3 linked regions of the Diceros bicornis minor genome follow. The protein of the gene in region 2 purifies or fractionates together with the protein of the main gene of each other region. This does not show direct contact. Links are inferred from orthologs where the notes say so. Each region holds a gene or a part of one and is shown on either strand. Other genes may lie near its edges.

Region 1 (7,947 bases), on a different chromosome or scaffold from region 2:
TGTGCCTAATCACTCTCTTCTCTTGCCTTGTCACACAGTTGGTCCCTTCTCGTCATTTGTGTGTGTGTGTGTGAGGAAGATTAGCCCTGAGCTAATATCCGATGCCAATCCTCCTCTTTTTGTTGAGGAAGACTGGCCCTGGGCTAACATCCGTGCCCATCTTCCTCTACATTATATGGGACGCCGCCACAGCATGGCTTGACAAGTGGTGCGTGCCTGGGATCCGAACCTGCGAACCTGCGAACCCCAGGCCATAGGAAGCAGAGTGCGCGTGCACTTAACCGCTGTGGCACCTGGCAGGCCCCCCACTTCTTGTCATTTAAAGGTCCTGTCTTCAGACTGTTCCCTCCTACATACACCTCCCAGTGGCTCTCAGGTCACCCCGTTGATTTCCTCAGAAACTGGAATTCATTTGCCTGTTTACTTGTTTGGCATGTGCTCCTGGGGAACAGGGTCCTAGCTGCCTCCCTCACCCTAGGGTTCTCAGCACAGTGTGCCACTGTGCTGAGGACAGGTCCCCCTTCTTCTGAACCTATTTGCTGTAGGTTCACAGCAAGTAGTAGTTGAACAGATAACTCCTCCTCCCAGATCCTCCGGCCCCTGTGTCAGGTGGAGCCCACTATCCCATCCAGAAACTTCTAGCAAGGAGTGCTGGGGCCTGAGTTTTCCAGACCAAAGCCTATTGTCTCTGAAGGAGGTGGATGAACAGGAAGGGGGACCCTGGACCCCAAGACCCCCTAGGTTTGAAACTGTTCCTTCCAGGGAAAGAAAAGCTTGGGAAGAGAGATTTGGAAGGAAGGAGCAGAGAGAGTAGGGTAGCCGACTCCAATCTCAGAACTGCTGCTGGGCTAAGAAGTAGGAAGGGGGAAGTGCTGGGGATGTACCAGGAGGTGGAGCCTGGCTCAGGGCTGCAGGGAGGGAGCCAGCTCTGGCCACTGAGATCTACAAGCAGAAGCTGCTGAGGCCATCTGCAAGGCTGTGATTTGGTGGTCACAGGGTCTTGCCAGGGACTCCCTGCCTCCTGGGAGCCATGGAGGTGGGGTGGTCAGGATCCTGGACTCTGAGTATCCCTGTGGGGTCCTGCCTCTTCCTGGACTCTGGGTGGGGGCAGACACACCCACCCCAAAACTGCCTTTGGGGAAGTGCTGGCAGCTTCCCCTTCCTGGAGCCTGTGGGCTGGAGTGTCACAGCCCACTGAGGGGGTCTCCATTCCTCACCCTGCTTAGCCTGGTGCACACAGGAACTCAGGACAAGCTGGACCTGCCCTGTTGCCTGTGGTGAGCCTCAAGGCTATTCTGGCTGTCCTGGTGAGCTGACAGCTGCCACTTCTCCATTCCAGCTGTGGTGCAGCCCTCAGTTCTGCTGGATGTCATTTCTTTGTCTGTTATGGTCTAGTCCAGGTGATGCTGGACCAGTGTGCACAGGGACAAGTCATGCCTCCTCTGGTGCCCATGAGGCCCTGGCTAGGCAGCCATCCCCTGTCCCCAAAAACAACGTCTCAAAAGGACTCCTGGGTTCCCAAGTGTGAAGGAAGCAGGATGCCTGTGATATCCTTTATTGGATGACTGTGGATGGGTCCTGGCCCCTCTGGGCCTCAGTTGCCTCAGCTGCAAAGCAAGCAGTGTCTCCAGCTCTGATCCTTGATTTTCTCTCTGGCCCTTCACCAAATCCACCCTCCCGGTCCCACCTCCCTGTTCCCTCTTCCTGCAACCTTCCCCCTCAGTGCTTTTCCCCATCCAGCACTCCCCACATCACCTCCACCAGGAAGGCTCCCTGACCTTCCCAGGCACCGTTAGTTTCTCCCTTCTGTGCACACATAACCTTGGCGGATGTTTTTTTAATGGCAGCAGGATTCCTTGTTTACACCTCTCCCAACTCCAGGATGGGGGACCCCTAGAAGGGCGGGGTAGAGTTTATGTTATTCATTCATTTAATTTGACAAATATTTACCTGCCACCCTCAAGAATTATGCTGCCAGGGGTCTAGAATCAGAGACCCAGGAGGGGAGAGACTCACCACCAGGTCAGTGGGATCTGGCTAGGGAGGGGGAAGCCCCAAGACAATGGGGGTCAGAGAGGGAATGCTCACAGGCAGGGAATGAAAGATGGGGAGAAGGGATGGGGGTGGGGGAGGAACAAGAGGATGAGGAGAGCAAGGCAAGTCACGGCTGGAGTGCTCCTGTGTATGGTAAGTGGAGGGAGATGAGGTGGACCTTGGGTGGTGACAGCCCCTACAGGGCCTTGCAGAAATTGCTATTATAACAACTCATTCACCCCTGTTGAGGGCTTTCCATGCGCCATGCACATTCTGAACATTTTACCTGCATTTCTTCTCTTGGTCCTGACCTCAGCTGGTGCGTTAGTGGCTAGATATTACTGTTAGGCCCATTTTACTGCTAAGAAAACTGAGGCACAGGGAGTTTCTCGTACTCTTTCAAAGTAATATGCAGGTGGCAAATTTGCAGACTGCTCCCCAGAGTCCTTGCCATCAACCAGCACTCTACCACTTTTGCCTCCTGCACAGTTCAAAGCAGTGTGTGTGGGCTTTATCCTCAGGACATTGGGGAGCCACAGAAGGTTTATGATCAAGAGAGTATTGTGATTTCTTTCAGCAAGATCCCCTTGGCTGCCTAGTAGAGGATGGATTATAGGGGAAATGGGAGAGCCAGGGAGGAGGCTGGAGGCCTAGAATAAGGAAGGGAAAGTGGGGATGGAAAATGGGATGCATTTGAGGGGGAATTGAGGAGGGGAAGGAACTGACAGGATGGGAGGGAGGGTCATGGCTCTGGCTGGTGAGAGGCCACAAAGTGGAGAGCCCAGGAGTAGGGGCCACTGAGGGTGCCGGAAGTGTCTGGTGGAGGCTTCAGAGTAGTGGTGGACGTGGGGCTGGCAATCAGGGGAGAAGTTGGGCTAGAGATGACCATGTGTGGGGTTCTGAGCCCCTGGAGTGGGAGGTTTGTGACTGGAGTAGCAATCAGAGGCCTAGCCTTAGCCCCGGGGACCCCCATGGAGATGGAGCAGCAAGAGGCATGGAAGCAGGGAGGGCTGGACTCGCTAGGAAGAACATGTAACTAGCAGGGAGTGGCTAACTGGTGGGAAGGGTGCAAGGACCACACTACCTGGCCTGGGGCTGGGGGAGGCCATGCCTCCCAGTGGCCCCATTCTGCCCTGCCTCCATTGATTGGGGTTTGTGTCTTCCTACCGCTGGTGAGCCTGGCCTCCAAGGGGCTGACAGGTTCTCTTGTTGCCCAGCAACTGCAAGAGCTGTTGGCTGTTGCTAGGAGCAGGCTGGGGAGGCCCAAGGAGGGAGGATCAAGCACAGGCTGGGGCTGGTGGGGAAAGAGGCCCGCCTTGGAGCTGCGTTTGTAGTCTCTGTGTGGACAGGCTGTGTTCTTGGCTATGTGCACCCATTTTTACAGTGTGTTCTATGGATCTGAGGCATGTTGGAGGCTGGGCCTATGTATGGATAGAGCATATCTCTGAGTGTCTGTGTCCCAGGTGGGCAGTATGTGTTTTCACTATGCTCGCTACATGCTTGTGGCAGGGCCTGCTTGAGCTTTGGCTCCAGGCAGGAGGGAGCCATGGGGGCACCACTGGGGGACTTACAGGGCAATGGCTCCTCAATAAGGGAGCCATTCAGATAGGATACACAGATACTGCAGGGAGAGCAGACAGCCTGAGGACTGGGGAGCTGAAACAAGATGTGTGCCAGTGTGGTAAGGAGGGAGTCTGTGCTGAATGGGGCTGTGGGTGGCCAAGCATTGGTGGCCAGCTCCCCTCCTGGCTTTGTGGAACTTCCTTGTCTTTGGGCCGAGGCCTCCCTGGTTCATGTTACTGGGGCCACACAGGACACCTTCCTGGGTAACCCTTGGCAGACCCTTCAAATATCCATCGGAGGTTGGGGCTGTGGACTCCTCCTGGAGAACAGGATTAGAAAGACTGAAATGTTCTGCTAAAAACACTGCTGCCTCCACCCCACCAGCCATAGGGTTGCAGCCACTATCCAGTGGGGACAGGCCATAAGATCATGGCCACTTATGTTTCCAAAAGTCAGGCGGCATATCCCTCTCCCTCTCCTCCCTCTCTCTGTCTCTCTCTCTCTCATTCTCTCTGTCTCCTTCTCTCTTGGGTCCTGGTTGCCAGGTCCCAGACTGAAATCCAAGATGGCTACCTGCAGGGGGATGCCTCCTAGAAGATCAGAGAAGGATGGATAAGCCTTGGATGACTAGAGAAGGCACCCCAGCTGAGGGAGACAGACTAGAGGTGGTAAGAGACTTTTTTTTTTAATATTGCAATCCAGAGAGAGAAGGTGACAAACCTGCCTTAAGACGGAGCAAGCCCCAGTCCAGAGAGGCTCTGGCCCTCTGCAGATCCCGAAACAAGTTTATTGGGTTCATTAACTTTAACAAGTGACGAAGACACGCCTCCTCCACCCAGCTCGCCCAACTAACAAGTACAGAGGACTGGTTCCTGCTCTGGCCGCGAGGTGCACCGGATCCCCACCCTCCGGCTACGAGATCTCCCGCCCCCGCCGTGGGCCGCTGAGCTCCAGGCGCTCCACACCCAATCGGAGCCCGGCCCCGCCTGCAGCCGGCTCGGAGCCCAATCCCTCTGAGCTTGGCTCTACCCCTACAGCTATCCCTCGCGTGGCTCCGCCTCCAGCCCCGGCCCGAGCCTGAGCAGCGCCTAACTTCTCCTTCGCTCCGCCCTCGAGCCAATCACCTGCCCCGGATCCCCTATGGCCCCGCCTCCGGACCCGCCCCGGCCCAGTCCAGGGCCTGGCTCGCTCCGGCTCCACCCGCGGCCCGCCCAGCCGTCGGTGCGCGGAGGCCTGGAAGGCACCGCCCGCAGACGCTCGGGACTGCCGACCCGAGAGCTACCCGTAGAGGGCCGGCGGCGGGAGCGGAGTGGGTCGGGCGGGGCCGAGCCGGGCCGGGGGCCGTGTGGGGGCCGGGCGGCGGCCGGGCCGGCGGACGGCGGGATGGGCTGCACTGTGAGCGCTGAGGACAAGGCGGCGGCCGAGCGCTCCAAGATGATCGACAAGAATCTGCGGGAAGACGGCGAGAAGGCGGCGCGGGAGGTGAAGTTGCTGCTGTTGGGTGAGGCCACGCCCAGCGTTGGGACCCCCCCCCCCCCCCCCCCCCCGCCACACACACACTCCCCGCCTAAATCCCCAGACAAGGACTTAGACCTCCAGACTACGGCTTCGAACTTCCAGACTCGGCGTGAACTCCCACACCTGGATTTGAATCCCCGGACCCGGCCTGGCCAGAACACCCAAATAATGGTTCAAAACTCTGGGTTGGCCTAGACCTTTGATCCATAGCGCAGACTCTAGACCCTCAGCTCGTCCCAGACCGTAAAACCCCAAACCCAGCCACCAGGTCCTCAACACCAGCTGCCCAGAACCCTGCTTGACCATCCACCCTTGCTCACCAACTCACAGACCCTCAGAGCCCCTGCCTTGTCCTTCCATCTCTCCCTAGACTTTACCCAAACCCCTAGACCCCACGCGGCCCCTACCCTCAGGCACCACCTGTTTCCCCCACCTGCTCCCCCTATTCCTATTGGGCATGAGTATCCCCGAGGGCCCCTGCCAGGCCCCCACCCACTCCTTCCTTTCCCCTCTGTGCCCCATCCCTACTCTGGACCCTATATCCTCCACCTGTGCACCCTGACTCCAAAGGACCTCTCAAGTGGGTAAACATGACTGCTCATGAGCCCTCTCTCTAGCCGGAACCCCCAAACCTCTAGAGACCCCTGTTCTCTGCATCTGGCCCACCAAGTCCCTCTCTGCAGGCATCACTCCTTAAACCCTCTGCTCCCCCTCCCTTAAGTCCTCTCCCACACTCTGGCCTTGCCCAGATTCCCCCACCCCTCCTGCACTGGGTGGGCTGGGCTGGGCTGGGCTGGTTGGAGGGGGCCCAGACCCCTAAGGGGCTGGACTGAGGCTCCACGGGTCATGCTGGGGGAGGGGGCCAGGCCTCAAACTTCCCAGGGAGAGTACACTGACTCTCTGTTTCTCAGTTTCTAAGCCCTGTCTGGGCCTGTGAGAGGGAGGTGGTCTGGGGAGTAGGAGGGAGTGTGGAGGAGTTTGGGTTGCGGCGCCTGTACGGCCAGGGAAGATGGTGGATGCTTGAGAGGTGGGGGGAAGTGGAAGTGGTGAGACAGCCGACATATTGCTGCCCCGGCAGGCGGGGCGGAGGAGATCGGCTGACGGGTACTGGGCTACCCGCACTCCTTCTAGGCCGAAAAGTCTCGGACATGGCCTCTGGGAGTGAGTGGGCCTGTTGGGTCTTGAGGCCCTGTGAAGGGGGAGTGGTGGACCAGCTGGATGAGGAGTTGGGGAGCCAGCTGAGGGTGGGCATCTGTGGTGGACCTCTGCAAAGATTGGGCCATGTAGTTGTTCCCGTCCAGTTTCCCACTCGGAGCAAGTGTGGTGCCCAGGGGCAGCCTGACTTGGGGGGCGTTTCAGGGTTGTGGGGCGGGAGGCCCTCACAGCAGCGAGGAAGGCTGGACAGTGTATGTGGGGGGGTGTGGCCCCTTGGCCCCAGAGCTGCTCTGGGGTCCCTAGGCTGTGAAAAGCAGGGCTTTTCATGCTGGGCGTATGGCCGAGGGACAGCATGTCTTCCATCATGGGCCCATCTGTTGACTGTCCCTGGGGGCCTGGCTTCGGGGGCACAGCCCTGGAGGTTTCAAAATGGCATCCGCTTCACCGCCGCTGCGGGGAGGAAGAGAAGGGGCGGGAAGGGGCGGCGGCCCAGCCTCCTGGGCTGTTTTGCGTTGGGCGCTTGCCTCTTCCTGTCTCTGCTGTGAGTGCGGCAGCGGCAGTGAGTGGGTGTCGACGCGGTGGAATGCCCGTCGCTGCTGCCCGCTGGGCCTGGAGAAGGTGCTTCCGGTACTGCTGCCTCCCCGTGCCCAGCCAGGAGCATCTAGCTAGCCCCCTCTCAGGCCGACTGCAGCGGCTGAGGAGATATGGGAATGTGCCATGGGGCTTGGGGACACAGAGCTCCTGTCCTGTTCTGTGTCCCTACCGCATCCCATCAGTCTTGCTCTTTGGAGCCCTGCTCAGGTTTTGAGCCTGGTAACCCCTCCCATGCTGGGCTGGCAGCAACCAGGGGTGCAGGGTCTGGCTCAGCATTTGCTAGGCTGGGGAGTCCATCTCAGCATCCTGCTCCTCTGGCTGTGCTTCCTCTGTGAAATGGGCTTCCTGGGTTTGGGCCAGAGGAGTGCTTGGGCCCAGAATGGGAAGAATAGGGGCCTTGTGGAGGTTCCTGTTGGGAGTGTGGGGTGGGGGCTAAAACCCTGCAGAGGGTGCACTGCAAGGGGCTGGGAGACCAAGCTGTGCCTGAAATTGAGGACCCAACTTGCTGTGGCTGGCTGGGGAGGGGTCGTGGCTGGCTATCCGTTTCCCATCCAGGTACAAAGAGGTGATGGAGCTGCTGGAGCAGCTTCAGCATGCTGGGTGCCTGTCCCATGTAGCAGAAAGGACTCTGTCGAGGCAACGGGACTCAGGCTGGGCAATTGCCAGCCTTCTCTCTCAGCCAGAACCACGCCTGCTGCCCCACCCGCATACTGGTTCCTTCCCATCTTGGGTAGCCTTGCCAGCGGGCAGGTACAGTCACTGTCACTGGGGCAGAGGCAGATGTGGTACACACTGGTGAGAGGGTTTTTCCTGGCAGCTTGGTGGGGGGAGCAGAGTTTCTGATACCAGCCCTGTTCCAGGGATACCCCAACCTCTACCAAGTTCAACTTGACTGACCAGCTATCCCCAGGTGGAATCTGGGGCCTTGGGCTGGGCACTTAGGGGAAAGAAAGCCAGAGCATATGTTTGGGGAGTGTCTTCTGATTTGGGATGGGCTTTCTGGGCAGCCTACAGAGAAAGGAGAGATAGTGCCCACTGTTGGCCCCATGAAGGCTTCGGGTGTAGATACAGCAGTTCTTTCTG
Region 2 (7,296 bases):
TTTCCATTTATTGGCCATATACCAGCTAGGTTAGATTGCCAGATAATTGAATTTTGAATAGGCAAAGTATTTTGTACTCTTGCTTTATTATTTTTATAAAAGTTTTATTGAAGTATAACGTACATATAGAAAAGTGCACAAATCATAAATCTACAGTTCAATTATTTTTAACAGACTGAACACACCCTTGTTAGGTGTACCTAGAAAAAAAACACATAACTTTACCTGCTTTATTCTTTTGAAAGTATTTCCATAAGCGTCATCTCACTAGGTAATGGCAACAATCGTGTGAGGCTAAAGGATGAGATACTTTCTGTATTTGACAGATGTGGAAAATGAGGGTTTGGTACCTTAACTAATTTCTCAAATCACAAGGTAGACAGCACAGATATTAATCCTAGCATTCCAGAGCAGGAATCTTCCCGTGACACTACGAAATTTACTCAGAAGATGCAAATACGGTAGATCAATTCTAGTATCAAATTGTGGACAGACGTAAGACCCTAGTGGTCATTTGGAGCCTGTGTCTGCTCTGAATGGCCAGTGTCCCTGACATACGGCTGTTAAACATTTTTAATTTCTTCCCTAGGAAGTCAAATGTCAATACACTCCTGAGGAAAGAAGGGGGTCATAAATAATTATACCAGATTCCAAGAGAAAGCACTAGTTCAAAACTTAAGATGACTTAGCGTTCTTATTTTTTTATCTCATTTCTTCCATTCTGTTCTTTCCATCTTTTCACCCTCAATGCCAACAAAATAAACTTAACTGAAATGGAAGGACTGAAAAACCATAAGAACTTTTAATAAGCATCCCCAAATTCAAATTCATATTTGGATCAGCTATCTCTATCACTGTTTCAAATTACCATCCATTCTAGAAAGCCTCCAATGGTTTGAATTGCAACAGTGGTACAACTAGCTGAATATAAAGTCCTAATTATAAAAATATGAAAGATCAAAAGCTACGCAGATTAAAGCTCACTATGGTCTCCCAGTCAGCTACAAGGATGCAGTATTTTATAGACTGCCCCATCAAAAAGTTGGTTAGCAAACGAACAAAATACAAAGTAGCGTGGAAGGAGCACTTTTCATAAGTTCTTTTTTTTACAAATTGCAAGAGGGCCGGCCCGTGGCTTAGCGGTTAAGTGCTCCGCTCCGCTACTGGCGGCCCGGGTTCAGATCCTGGGCGCGCACCAACGCACCGCTTCTCTGGCCATGCTGAGGCCACATCCCACATACAGCAACTAGAAGGATGTGCAACTATGACGTACAACTATCTACTGGGGCTTTGGGGAAGAAAAAAAAAGGAGGAGGATTGGCAATAGATGTTAGCTCAGAGCCGGTCTTCTTCAGCAAAAAGAGGAGGATTAGCATGGATGTTAGCTCAGGGCTGATCTTCCTCACAAAAAAAATAAAATAAAATAAAAATTGCAAGAAATACAATTGTTCCAGGCATGTGAATATCATTTTTTTAAATGAAAGGTTCTGCAGGATCTGAACTTCCCAAGAGCTGCAGTTGTTGAAGTCAATGAAGTAGAGTGCGCTCTCGATTAAACCTGCTCCACCACCTACGGTCGGTAAAACCAATCTGTGTCCTTGGATCGTAAAGTGGGTGACAGTGGCACCCCACTACAGGGCTGCCCCGAGGGTCCAGTTAACAGGCTCTCAGAACCGTGTCTGGCCCACAGAAAGCTGCTTTGATTGCTAGGAAGGAATGAGCCTCTTCTGGAAGGCAGAATTTCTCTAGTTTAAGCCAATCTATGAAGTGAGGTTATTCCACGGACTAACTCAAATTCAATTCATGTTATCAGGTCCTTATTAACTAATTCTTAAACTATGCACTGTCTCAAGCATTATGGAAAGCAAAAAGGAAGCCCTCCCAGAAAGAAGCTAACAAAATTACAGTGTTGACCAACTACCTGGTTGGAACAAAAACGATTGCTTTTGACAAACATGTAAGTGCATAGCTCCCTCCCCTCCCCACCCCCACCTCCAGAAAGTTTGCCTCCAAATAAGGAACTAGGCACCTAATCATCAAGTAGAGATCTGAGCGTCCAGTGTCCTGTGGACAAATCGCCCTCAGGCTCCCACTCATGATAAACCAATTTCAGTTCATTGCTTGGAAGAAAAAGGAAATTTAACTCAAGCGCTAAATTAGCTTTAGTAGTATATTACATGTAAACACACTCTTTACTAACTTGGAGAGATAATAGACACTTTCCAAAGCATGTTTAGGAGCCTACGGTTCTTTTCAAATTGTATGCTAAAAACTGAAAACCACTCCTGACAACAAAACTAAAATCATTGCGCTATCATTTTGCCAGCTTATATATTTTCTCATATTTTAACAAAGTTGGGGAAAATAAATTATATGTAAAACCAAGCAACTGATAAGTTCATTGATCTGATTTGAAACGCCTTCTTGAAGAACTTTCTGCAACCTGTACCCGTGTCTCCCAATCTAATAAACCTCAGAAATTGAAAACTGTACAGTGGGGCTGTCCCCTAAAATAAAGAGAACCTGACTCGGGCAAAGTTTTCTACCCCTTAGAAACTGAAGACGCCTTGCTGTTTTATGCAGAAACATCTTAAATGGGCAGGTTAAAGGAAAAGGAAACCGACGGGCTTCAGTCTCTGTTAGGAAAAATGACTCCAAATCCCCAGTATTTAAGGAAAAGAACTGAGCTTTTCTTAGGAAAAAGCCACTTGACAGCTGAGGGTGCTGCGTTCTGGAAAGGTGGCCAGACAAGGGAGAGGCTGCCGTCAGGGGAGAGTTGAGGCTGCACGTCCAGCCCGCCGGGCCCCGGGAGCCCCTACCTGCGTTCCTCAACTTCTTGTTCCGACACACGGCCAGGATGACCAGGAGGTTGCCCAGGATGTCGACCACGATGGTGAAGATGAGGATGCAGGCGAGCGTGGAGGCCAGCCACGAGGGTCGCGGCCACGTGCCCTCCCCGCCGCCGGGCGCCGGCTGAGAGGCGTTGAGCAGCGCGCACCCATTGCCCCTCAAGGTCCCGCCCGGCGCGCCCCAGGGCCACCCGGCCATCGCGCGGGCCCCGCAGGCGCCCGCCGCCCTGCCAGCGGCCCGAGCGCCGCGCGACCCCGCTCCGCCACTTCTAACGCCTCCTCCGCGCCCTCCGCGCGCCTAGCCTCACCCCAGCGCCCCTTCGCAGCCGCCCCGCGGCCGGACGCTGCACCTGCAGCCCCAGCCGGGTGACACCTGGCGCCCGCCTCCAGGTCCCCTTGACGGCGGGGCTGGCAGCCCCGTCCCGCACCACGTGCCGACAGCGCCCCCGTGCGGGCTGCCCGGGCCCAGCCGCTGCGCCCCAAGGGGGCAGGGAGCCCAGAGAAGGCTTTGCAGGGAACGTCGCCCTTCCTTCCGTCCCTCGTGTTTCCTCTCTGGGACATGTCACCAAGCAGGGCCAGTATGCGTGCGCTCGAACTCTACCTCGGATTGAGGCACGTCCGGTAGTCACCAGGTGTCCCAGTTTCCTTAGCTGTAAAATGGGGGTAAAAGAGTAGATAAATCGTCTACCTCCTAGATAGTAAGAGGTGAAAAAAAATCAAGGAACTTGCTCAGTCAGGTATTGCACCATTCTTGAAGCTCAAAACGTTTTCCCGGTTCCCCCCACCTCCACCCCACACACTGTAAAGGTCATCCATAATTTTGATCGTCTTTCCCCAAAAGCTACTTTTATTTTGCGACTTCTTGAACGCTGTCCTTAAAATTCCAAGTTCTCATCTATTTCTCCCTGCAGGTCTATTAGTTTTTGCCTCATGCATTTTGATGCTCTGTTATTAGTCAGGTGCATACATGTTAAGGATTATGTCTCCTTGGAGAATTGACCCCCTTATCATCATGTAATGCCCCTCTTTATCCCTCAACACTTTCCTTGCTCTAAAGTCTACTCTGTCTAAAATTAATATAGCTACTCCTGCTTCCTTTTGATTAGTGTTAGCATGGTATATCTTTCCTCATCCCTTTACTTTTAATATATATGTGTCTTTTTTATATTCAATGTGGATGTTTTGTAGACAACATATAGTTGGGTCTTGTTTTTTGATCCTCTCTGACAATCTCTGTCTTTTAATTGGTATATTTAGACCATTGATGTTTAAGGTGATTATTGATGTATTTGGATTAATATCTACTATATTCATTACAGTTTCTTATTTGTTGCCCTTGTTCTTTGTTCCTATTTTTGTCATCTGCTCTTTTCTGTCTTTTGTGGTTTTAACTGAGCATTTTATATGATTCCATTCTCTCTCCTTTCTTAGCATATCAGTTCTTCTTTTTTGACTTTTTTTAGTGTGTCCTAGAGTTTGCAATATACACTTACAACTAATCCAAGTCCACTTTCAAATAACAGTATCCTACTTCATGGGTAGTGCAAGAACCTTATAATAAAAAAAATACTCCTAATTTCTCCCTCTCATCCTTTGTATCATTGCTGTCATTCATTTCACTTATACGTAAGCATATATAAGCATGTATGTATACATAGCATACATAATCAAATACACTGTTGCTATTATTATTTTGAACTGTAAACTGTTAGGTCAATTAAGAATAAGAAAAATAAATGTTTTTATTTTACCTTCACTTATTCATTCTCAGATATTCTTCCTTTCTTTATGCAGATCCAAGTGGGTTTCTGACCTATATCATTTTCCTTTTCTCTAAAGAACTTCTTTTAACATTTCTTGTAAGGCAGGTCTACTGGCAATCAACTCCCTCAATTTTTGTTTGTCTGAAAAAGTATTTCTCCTTCACTTTTGAAGGATAATATTGCAGATTAAAGAATTCTAAGTTGGTGGAGTTTTTCTCTCAATGCTTTAAATATTTCACTTCACTCTCTTCTTGCTTGCATGATTTCTGAGAAGTCAGATGTAATTGTTATATTTGCTTCTCTATAGGTAGGGTGTTTTTTTATCCGACTTCTTTTTTCATCTTCAATTTTCTGTAGTTTGAATATAGTATGCTGTTGTTTTTTAATGGGTTTTTTTGGGCATTTATCCTGCTTCATGTTCTCTGAGCTTCCTGGATCTATGGTTTAGTGTCTGACATTAATTTGGGGAAATTCTCAGGCATTATTCCTTCAAATATTGCTTCTGTTTCTCTCTCTCTTCTTCATTACATGCATGTTATACTTCTTGTAATTGTCCCACAGTTCTTGGACATCCTGTTCTGTTTTTTTCAGGCTTTTTATTCTCTTTGCTTTTCCATTTTAGAAGTCTCTATTGTCATATCTGCAAGCTCAGAGATTCTTTCCTCAGCCATGTCCACTCTACGAATGAGCCCATCAAAGACAGTCTTCATTTTGATCTCTAGCATTTCTTTTCTATTCTTTCTTGGAATTTCCATCTCTCTGCTTACATTATCCATCTCTTCTTGCATGTTACCTAATTTTTCCATTCAAGCCCTTAGCATATGAGTCATAGTTTTAAAAAATTTCCTGTCTGAAAATTCCAACATTCCTGCTATCTTCCAGCTCTGGTTCCGATGCTCGTTCCCTTCCAACCGTATGTTTTGTCTCTTAGTATGTCTTGTAACTTTTTGTTCAAAGGCAGACATGATGTATTGGATATAAGGAAGTGTGGTCAACAGGCCTTTAGTAATGTAGTTGTAAGGTGTAGGAGGAGGGGAAGCGTTCTATTGTTCTACGATGAGGTTTCAGTCTTTTGGTGAGCCTGTGCCCTTAGACTGTGAACTTCACCAGTGCTTCTCAGTTCCCCCCACCTTTGGTGGGACAGGGTGGCTAGAGAGGATTGAGGTTATGTTTCCCTTCCCCCACGTGGAAGCCTAGAGCCAGCTGCAGTTGGAGTTGGATATTTCTTTTTCTCCAAGTAGGCTGGGCTTGGATAAAAACCCCAATAGCTTAGGCTCAGGTTAAAGAGTTTCTCCTGAGGGCAGACCTTGTTAAGAACAGAATGCTCTGGTGTTTTTTCAGAATAGTTCCTTTCCCCCTCACTTTGCTGGAAGCAGGAGGGGATTTTTCTGAGATATTCACTGTGAAGCCTGGTAGAGCTCCTGGAGGTAAACTCACGGATGTGTGGGAGGCCCTCCTATGACTGGGTCCTCCTGGAGTTTTTAACTCTCAAATTTGTCCACATTGAGCTTCTAGTAATTCGCCAGTTACAGTTCAAATTTTCCTACCCCAGCTGTGGGTTTCTGCTCTGCTAAGTTGTGATTCTCTGTATCCACCTGTCTGTCTCTCCAATTTTAGGGGCAGTGGTTTGCTGTGTGACCTCACTTTTTTTTTATGGACCTAGGAAAATTGGCTGATTTTTTCAGTTTGTTCAGATTTTTACTTGTTGTTAGGATAGAGTGGCAACTTCTAAGCCTCTTCTATGCCAGGAATAAATAGGTATCTTAAAAGAATAATTCTTCATGACCATATGGGGTTCATTCCAGGAACTCAAGGTTTGTAGAACATTAAAATATATTAGTATAAGTTATCACATTTGTGGATCCAAGGAGATAAACTACATGATCATCTTACTACAGGCAGAAATGGCATTAAAAAAAATTCCCTGTCCATTCCCAATTTTTTAAAGTTTCTATAAACTTTAAGAAGAAAAGAGTTGACACTATAAAGAATATTTCACAATAATGTCTATCTTAGACTTAAAAGAGAAATGCTAGTTATTCTCCTTTAATTTGAGAAGAGGGAATGCCTGCTAATATCACACCAATTTAACATTGTGCCAGATGTTTCTGATAATGAAATGAGATTAAAAGAGAAAAATGTAAAAATAAATATTTGCAGATAATAGGAGTGGGTGTACTTCCTTAAATTCCAGTGAAAATAAGATAGAATACATAATTAAATAGAAGATCTGATATATAACAGTAATCAGTGTAAAATTGCTAGGAAATGGCTTAACCAGCAGTCTGCAGGGCAATGTGGAAGAAAGACTCAAAACTTTGCTGAGAATGATGAAAGAAAACATAAATAAAGGGAGAGACATACTGTTTCTTTTTTTTTTTTTAATTTTTTGTTTATTGCAGTAACATTGGTTTATAACATTGTAAAAATTTCAGGTGTACATCATTGTACTTCTATTTCTGCATAGATTACATCATGTTCACCACCAAAATACTAATTACAACCCATCACCACACACATGTACCGAATTATCCCTTTCACCCTCCTCCCTCCCCCCTTCCCCTCTGGTAACCACCAATCCAATCTTTGTCCCTATGTGTTTGTTTATTGTTGTTATTATCTACTACTTAATGAAGGAAATCATGCGGTATTTGACCTTCTCCCTCTGACTTATTTCACTTTGC
Region 3 (7,582 bases), on a different chromosome or scaffold from region 2:
GCTGTTGACTTTCGAATTCCAGGCCAGATAGCTGAGGAGACCTCTGAGTTCCTGGAGCAACAACTCACCAGCGACATCATCATGTCGGACAGCTACCTCCGTCCTGCTCCCTCACCTCGACCGGAATCATGATGGGCTGCTGGACACTTGGAGGGAGATGGGGCTGAGGGCCAGTTATGGAACACCATGTGGGATCACCTATTCCCAGCTAGCTGGGGCTGGGGCTGGGGTCTCTGCACACAGCTTTTGCTTAGTGTTTTTTGGGTCAGGAACAGAGCCAACAAGATGGACATGTGGCAAAAGCCTTGGACATGGCTGTGATGCTTGACTACTGGGGGAGGGAACCTGGTGAGATGGTGACGAGAGTAACGGGTCACGAAGGTGAGATGATGCCTTTCAACCAGTGAACTTTCCACGCCTCAGGAAGCAGGGAAACTCTCTAAGGGTAGGAGCTGGAGGATACAGGGCAGCAGGCCAGGTTTGGAGTTATTCCGGGGCCCTTTAGGATATTTCCTTTTTCAGTATAATTGTCCAGGGAAATCATTGCACCCAAGCAAGGTAAGAAAATGACCCATGTCTTCTCATTTCCTTGCTAGGTTTAACAAGAACTAAATTATAGCCAAGTGTTTCCATTTGAGTTAATAGATCTTTTTTTTAGTTTTAGACCTGAGGTTTCCTTAAAGTGAGAGGACTAGGTATATTCCTCTCCTGAGTTTGACCAGAAGCAGGAGGAAATAGCAATCAGTGTGCATCGAGTAGAAGACAGGAAAGTTGACTACAGCTCTCTGTCTTCCGCCCTCAAGCTTGATCTCAGCAGAAGCAAGACTAAGACTGGATGGCTCTTTCTCCTTGTCTTTTAGGATGAAGAAGTGGAAAGATTGGGGGCTGAAGATAACTTTTTTTATTATAAAAAGTTATACTGATATCATTTAAATTGCTAAGGTGGTTGGATACAGACAGGCCAGGCAATCACCCTGACCAGTAATACTATAAATCTTTTTTTTTTTCTCCCTAGGACTGGCCTTCCTGATCTCTCTCCTCATGGCAGTGACCCACCTCCAGCCCCCTGGACAATCGGGTACAAGAGACTAAGGTTGGGAATGGGAAAGGTGGGGTTTCCATGGTTCATTAAATGCCTCCCTACTCCCATTCATCGCTCTCAAAATTAGCTTCAGTGACAAAGACTTAATCTCTCTCCTATCTGCAGCCCTGGGTTGGAGACAGGGCACAGGAGTTGGGCTCAGCTGTTCACTGATTGAGACTGTAGGAACTGTGTTGGTTGGTATCGGTGGTGGTATTTTCAAGGGAAGGGGAATAATTGCAAACTAGACAGGACATCCATCTGGGACTACCTGTCCATCCCACTTCCCTCAATTGAATCAGGTGACATTAAAGGGTTAAGGTAGGACCAGAGGGTGGTGTGGTCTGTATTTAAACAAATTCCTGGCTCATCGAGCATCTAAGGGGAAGATGTGCTGGTGGGAGTGGGATAGATTCCCTTTGAACAGCCAATAAATAATTTTTATTATAAAAAGTTATACTGATATCAACATTGACTCCTTCAGTTCAATTCAGTGCATAATAGTTGAATACCCAATATTCTCTGGCACTCACACAGAGGATGTAGAGTCACTGCCTTCAAGGAGTTCATAGTCTAATTTGATCAGGTACCTTGTATTTTTACATCTGGTAAAGCAGTACAGAATGTATTTGAGAAATATATTGGAGAATATGCTCTTGGTTCTCACTTCTGAGAGTTCAGTCCATTGCAGCAAGATACGTACATGGAGGCTTCCTGCAGATTGTGAAAAGTATGAGGGTTGTAAATGAAACTCTAGTTGAAGAAAAACAATTTATTAAATGAAACTTGGGCAAATAGCTTTCCCCCTTCAGATCTAGGAAAATTTCCAGGTGTCTGTCTTCCTACTCCTAGACTTACTCTAGTCTAAGGCCTATTACATTGAGGAAATCCCTTGGATAGTATACACTGAGGAGAGTCTCTTGTGATTGAAAAACATACTCTCTCCTCCCTTTTAAGATACACTCATAAGAGAGGAATCTCATTCCTGAACAGGGGGAGAACTCTTCTTCCAAACATCATTGATCAGCTAGTACGGCCTAAGCATTGCCAGCAGGTGGCAGTGTGAGTCCAGCGGAAACAGAAAAGGTGCGGTTCGTGGGGTGGGGGCTCTAAACATTGCCTGGCAGCCATTTTGTTAATTTATTTTGCCTTTTCCTTTGACTTTGCCCTCCAACCCTTCCTTCACATACATCAAAGAAGAAAATTTTAAGTGCAAGGATATCTCTAATTCAGGCTGAAATTTCCTGACACTGTGATCTCACTGGAGTTTATTACAGAATTTGACATACGCTGGTTCATTTGCCCTTTCTTTTTCCCTGAGTGGATCATGAAGGAAATAAAAATTTCTTTTTTATTATGCTGAGAACTTTCCCAACAATTTCTGTCATGACCACCTTCCAGGAGTTTTCTAGTTACCAGGATTGCTTGGTAAAGTTCAAGATGTAATCCTTAGCTGTGAAAGCTGTTCCTGGACAAATTTTGACCTCTCTCATCCACTGAAGAATCAACAGGTTGAGACAACCGTTCCATCACTTTTTGCTGCACCCTAGTGGTGCTGGGGTAACTTTCAATCCTAGATGAAAACCTTCTGTTGTCAGGTCTCCCCAGGTAACATCTTAAAGTGGAATGGTAGAAAAGGGGTGAATTTGGAGTCAGATCCACTTACTCACTGTGTGAACTTGGGAAAGATGCTTAATTTCTCTGAGCCTATTTCCTCATCTGTAAAAATGGGGATAACATTACCTACCTCACAGGGTTGTTGTGAGGATTAAGAGATGACACGTGGAAGCATCTAGCCATACCTGGCAAATAGGAACTCAATAAATATTGGTTTTTCTTCCCTTTCCTCTTGCCCTTTTTCCCCCACAAGTATTGATTATGGGAAAGAAGTCCCTTCTATTCTAACAGGTTTGGGAATGAGTAGACTTTTCAAACTTTGAAGAAAGGGCATTGATAAATTATGGTGGATGAGGCTGTTTAAGGTGGCTCTCAAGAAATCTAATTAATGAATCATCACCTTACACACCTTTCTGTTGCGACTTTACATTCTAAGGTTTAGATTCTATTAGGGAAATAATTTTTTTGTGTGTGTGAGGAAGATCAGCCCTGAGCTAACACCCATGCCAATCCTCCTCTTTTTGCTGAGGAAGACTGGCCCTGGGCTAACATCTGTGCCTATCTTCCTCCACTTTATATGGGATGCTGCCACAACATGGCCTGACAAGCAGTGCATTGGTGCACACCAGGGATGCAAACCTGGGCGGCCAGCAGCTGAGCGTGCGCACTTAACCGCTACGCCATGGGGCCAGCCTGGGGAAACAACTTTTAATCACAGGGAAAGGTTTTGGGGGCTACAAGAGGTACCCTCCCTAGAACGTATAGTGAGAGTATTTGTGGGGCTATGTGGCAGTCAAGGTAATTTAGGGCCACCTTCATGGTAGTACCCAGGATTATAAGTGAAAAAGGTTATCAGTCTGGGGCTTTTATGGGGGATTTATTAATTTTCAGGTGATGCTACAGCTGAGAGGCAAATTCTACTAGAACTTCCCTTTTTGGCTATCACAAAAGGAAATTTTATTAGGAGATTCACAGGATGCACTGGTTTGTTTTGAGGTGTGGGTCAGGGGTTGACTAACCTTGGTACGAATCCTAAGACCCTAACGCAGTACAATCTGTAAGCGCCCAAACTGCCTTATATCGGAGAAAGGCAGCATGGAAACTTTATGGAGGAACTACACGCTTCCCTTTCAGATAATCGAGTACGCTAGCGATTTCAAGTGGCCCTTTGCCAACACAGTAGCTAGGCACCTCTAAAGCCCACAGAAATTCGTATGAAACGGCCCGAGGACCAGGGTCCATTTTGAGAGCAGGAGGCAGTGGGCTAGAGAAGGCAGAAAGGGATCTGAAGTCCTAGGCATGGTCTTACAGATCTCAGATGCGAAGCGTGGCCGGGGCCCAGGCTTTGGAGTTTGTTCCCATCCCAGAGATCTGCCTGAAATGGCCCCGGCAGAGGAACTGTCCTACACTTGGGCAGGGGCCACGGGTCTCTAACGTTAGAGATCAAAGGGGCTTTCTCGCCAGTGAGAAATTCCCAGCAGAAATTCCCGCGCGGGCTGTGGGCTATTATTTGGGAATTCCTCCCACTCACGACCTCGCCACTCACGACCTCGGGAGGGGGTCATGAACTGGAGAAGGCAGTCCCTGGTTTTTCTACAGTTATTCAAATACAGCAGCCGAAAAGGTGAAAGGGGACTAAGGTCGAGCTCGACATGACCTGGCTACCCACGGCACTGCGGCTGAACCTCACCGTCCCTCTCCCCGTACTTCCGCTTCCTCTCGCGCCTCCTCTACCCCACCTAGAGAGGTTCAAGCAGTAACGGCCGAGGGGCGTTTCCGGAAGTGTCGTAAACACCGGATATCCGGTTCCTCCGGGAGCTCCGAAAGCTGACGGAGAGGGCCGCCGCCCAGTAGTAGGCTCTGTGTTAGCCAGCCGAGCTGCGGTTTCTGCGGGGTGTGAGTGAGTCCGGGCCCGGTCCCCTCTCCCGCCGCCGCCATGGGCTGCACGTTGAGCGCCGAAGACAAGGCGGCGGTGGAGCGGAGCAAGATGATCGACCGCAACTTGCGGGAGGACGGGGAGAAAGCGGCCAAAGAAGTGAAGCTCCTGCTACTCGGTGAGGGGCTGGGGGCGGGGCTGGCGGGGTCATCGCGAGGGCCTAGGCACTTGGGAGCCCAGAGCGGGGTCAGGCCGGGCTGGCGGAAAGGACCCCGCAGGGATCTGGAGGGCGTGACGGGCATGGGGCGGGGTGTTGGGTAGGTGGCTGAGGCCCCGGAGGGCGTCATGAGGAGGTGGGGTTTTGGGGTTGTAGGAATTAGGCTGGAGAGAGGGTGTGACTCTGTGCTGAAATTGTGTTTACCGAAGAGAGCTTGGCAGCGTGGGGCAGTAGGACGTTGAGACTGTGTTAGGAATATGGGAAAAGCTCATAAAGGAAAAGCCGATATTAGGGACGGTTTTGCAAGGGGTTGGAGTGCGTTGGTAGCAAGCAGGACGGGGTAGTGTGTTGGGCTTGTATAATGGCTTTTGAGTTTGGAGCGTAGTGCTACTTTATGACAGGATAGAGCTGGGAGGCTTGGATGATTAATGTAAATAGAGAGAGGGGCTGAGACAGAGTGGTCACATAAGGACCCTGTCATTTATTAGAGAGTGGGCATTTTGAACTCTGGGTGAGCTGGAGGAACCCTGGATTTTCCAGGAACATGCAAGTGTGTGGTTGAGATAATGACACGTTCTCATGTATAAAGGAAAAGAGCTTGGGTGCAGAGGCTGTCTGTACTTTTCCAGCTGTTTCTGTAATTTTTGTTCTCTTAAAGTTTTGTAATGCCTTCCCTTGTTTTTATAAAGGAGGAGATGGTGTGAGTTGAGGAAATTTGAGAACTGGCTTGTTTGAGGTTTGTGGCAAAAGGCGTAGTGGACAATAGATTACATATTGGGAGTTGCTGAATAGTTGCTAGGGATGATGTGCTGTGGAAATGGAGTTATCTTAGGATAAATTATGGAATTGGACATATTTACTTTAAAAGCTGTGACAGACTTCTGGTGAACTGTTTTATCTTTTTTGGTCTCTTCAAACTAAAAACATTGGCTTTAGGAATTACTATTTTTTTTACCTGACATTTGTTTTAAGTAGCTTTTACGTACAGTCAGATGCATTTTACTCAGCATGATTAGTTTTAAAATTTTTGTGAGACTGGCTTCTGGAGGCTCAGTTAATCATGTAAAGTACCTAGGCATCCACTTACCAATAAATAAATCAAGCCACATTTCTTTACTATGAGTATTTTCTAGGGATCTTTAGAGGAGAATAAGTAGGAGTAAATGGTTTCTGCAAGCAATAGAACTTTACTTTTTAGAACAATTGACTTTTGAGAAAAAGAAGTCACTTTAGGAGAAGTGCTAGATTTTCATGGTGTAAAACTCCAGAGGACAGAATGTGCCACCATAACCCAAGACTTATCTTGTACTCCAGGATGTGTGGGGTGCCTGTGCTAGTCTCTTCATGATAACATGTTTGGTGGTTTGTAGATTGCAGAAACCCTGGTAACAGCTTTTTGGATATAGGGGGAAGGTTATGTATTGGAGCTTGGGCTCCAGTTTGAATACATGATCTTTCAGAATGCATGAATTTAAATTGTAGTTCTAGATTGCCACTCTCTATGTAGCAGGTATCATTTGTGGATGAGCATGGTCCCTGGCACGTAGTAGATGCTCCTTAAATATTGACTGTCAACCAGCATGAGCCGGCTAATGTTGGATGTTGCTCTTTGGGGGCTTTCAGATGTTTGATGTAAACCATAATATGTACTCAAGGCATTAGCATTGTCTATATTGAGATTGGTTATGAAATTGAAGGTATGTTTTCATCCTTTGTGAGTGTTTTGATTTACATTGACTGTCAGAGATCCCCTCAGGACATTAGCCTATTGTAATATAGTTGTAAACTGTGAGGCTTTCTTCCAAATGGCGGGATTTGGCTGGCAGAACCTATACAAGCAGAACTTGTCCAAATGTCTAGAAAAATCTTTGTTCAGGACTTTTTAAGTAGTGCATTTAATTAAAAACAAAATTAAACACATGATGACCTGGGGAACTTCAAAAGCAGTAAGTAAAAATCCAAGTACTAAAGCATTTGCTTTTAATTGTTATCAATTTCGTTGTTTTAAGAAAGATTTTTTTATGTTCTTGAGCAAGTTAAATCAACAGCTTCAAATAGGTTGCAGAGACAGATGCTCTTGCTTGAACCATATCATAATGCACATATGAAATTAAAATTATCTTCCTTTTTCTATAAGCAAAATGCATACATCACAGTATGTAAGTAATTTTTTTTTTGCTGTAGAATACCCCTTTTGATGTATATGTAAGTCATTTTTACTTCATCACTGAAACTATCAAACTTAGTCTAAGTTGAGAACTGTTTACTTACCCTTGTCTCTCCTGGCACGTAATAGGTGTTCATTAAATCTTACTGTATTTTCTTCCTTGCAGGGATGTAGTATGGCATAATGATTAACCATATGGGTTCTGAAGTCAGACTGTTTTACATTCTAATTCTCATTTATCAGCTATAACCTTGGGAAAGTTATTTACTCAGTTTTTCTCTGCCTCGGTTTCCTCATCTTCAAAATGGAGAAAATAAAGGTACTTTCATAGGATTGCTGTGAGGATTAAATATGATAATAAAGTAGAACACAGCCTGGCACGTAGTATTAGCTCAATGAATATTAACTATTATTGTTATTATTAAATCAAAATGAACGTTACAGATTCTGGGGCCAGCCCGGTGGCGTAGTGGTTAAGTGCGGGCACACAGCTTCTGGGGCCTGGGGTTCACAGGTTCGGATCCCAGGCGTGGACCAACCTACCACGTGTCAAGCCATGCTGTGGTGGCGTCCCATATAAAGTAGAGGAAGATGGGCACCGGTATTAGCCCAGGGCCAATCTTC

The links.
Region 1: the proteins of MTNR1A (region 2) and GNAI2 purify together in Homo sapiens (tandem affinity purification; 3 studies listed by BioGRID and IntAct, with this or other methods). This does not show direct contact. The link is inferred for Diceros bicornis minor from reciprocal best matches to the Homo sapiens genes MTNR1A and GNAI2.
Region 3: the proteins of MTNR1A (region 2) and GNAI3 purify together in Homo sapiens (tandem affinity purification; 3 studies listed by BioGRID and IntAct, with this or other methods). This does not show direct contact. The link is inferred for Diceros bicornis minor from reciprocal best matches to the Homo sapiens genes MTNR1A and GNAI3.

The regions. Positions count from the first base shown.
Region 1 is NC_080741.1:51,277,732-51,285,678, forward strand, and holds the start of GNAI2 (guanine nucleotide-binding protein G(i) subunit alpha-2), read left to right. Parts: upstream 1-4,933; 5' UTR 4,934-4,980; coding exon 4,981-5,098; intron 5,099-7,947. UniProt on the Homo sapiens protein: Guanine nucleotide-binding proteins (G proteins) are involved as modulators or transducers in various transmembrane signaling systems.
Region 2 is NC_080768.1:17,951,136-17,958,431, forward strand, and holds the start of MTNR1A (melatonin receptor type 1A), read right to left. Parts: upstream 3,062-7,296; 5' UTR 3,049-3,061; coding exon 2,820-3,048; intron 1-2,819.
Region 3 is NC_080743.1:42,585,138-42,592,719, forward strand, and holds the start of GNAI3 (guanine nucleotide-binding protein G(i) subunit alpha-3), read left to right. Parts: upstream 1-4,532; 5' UTR 4,533-4,634; coding exon 4,635-4,752; intron 4,753-7,582. UniProt on the Homo sapiens protein: Heterotrimeric guanine nucleotide-binding proteins (G proteins) function as transducers downstream of G protein-coupled receptors (GPCRs) in numerous signaling cascades.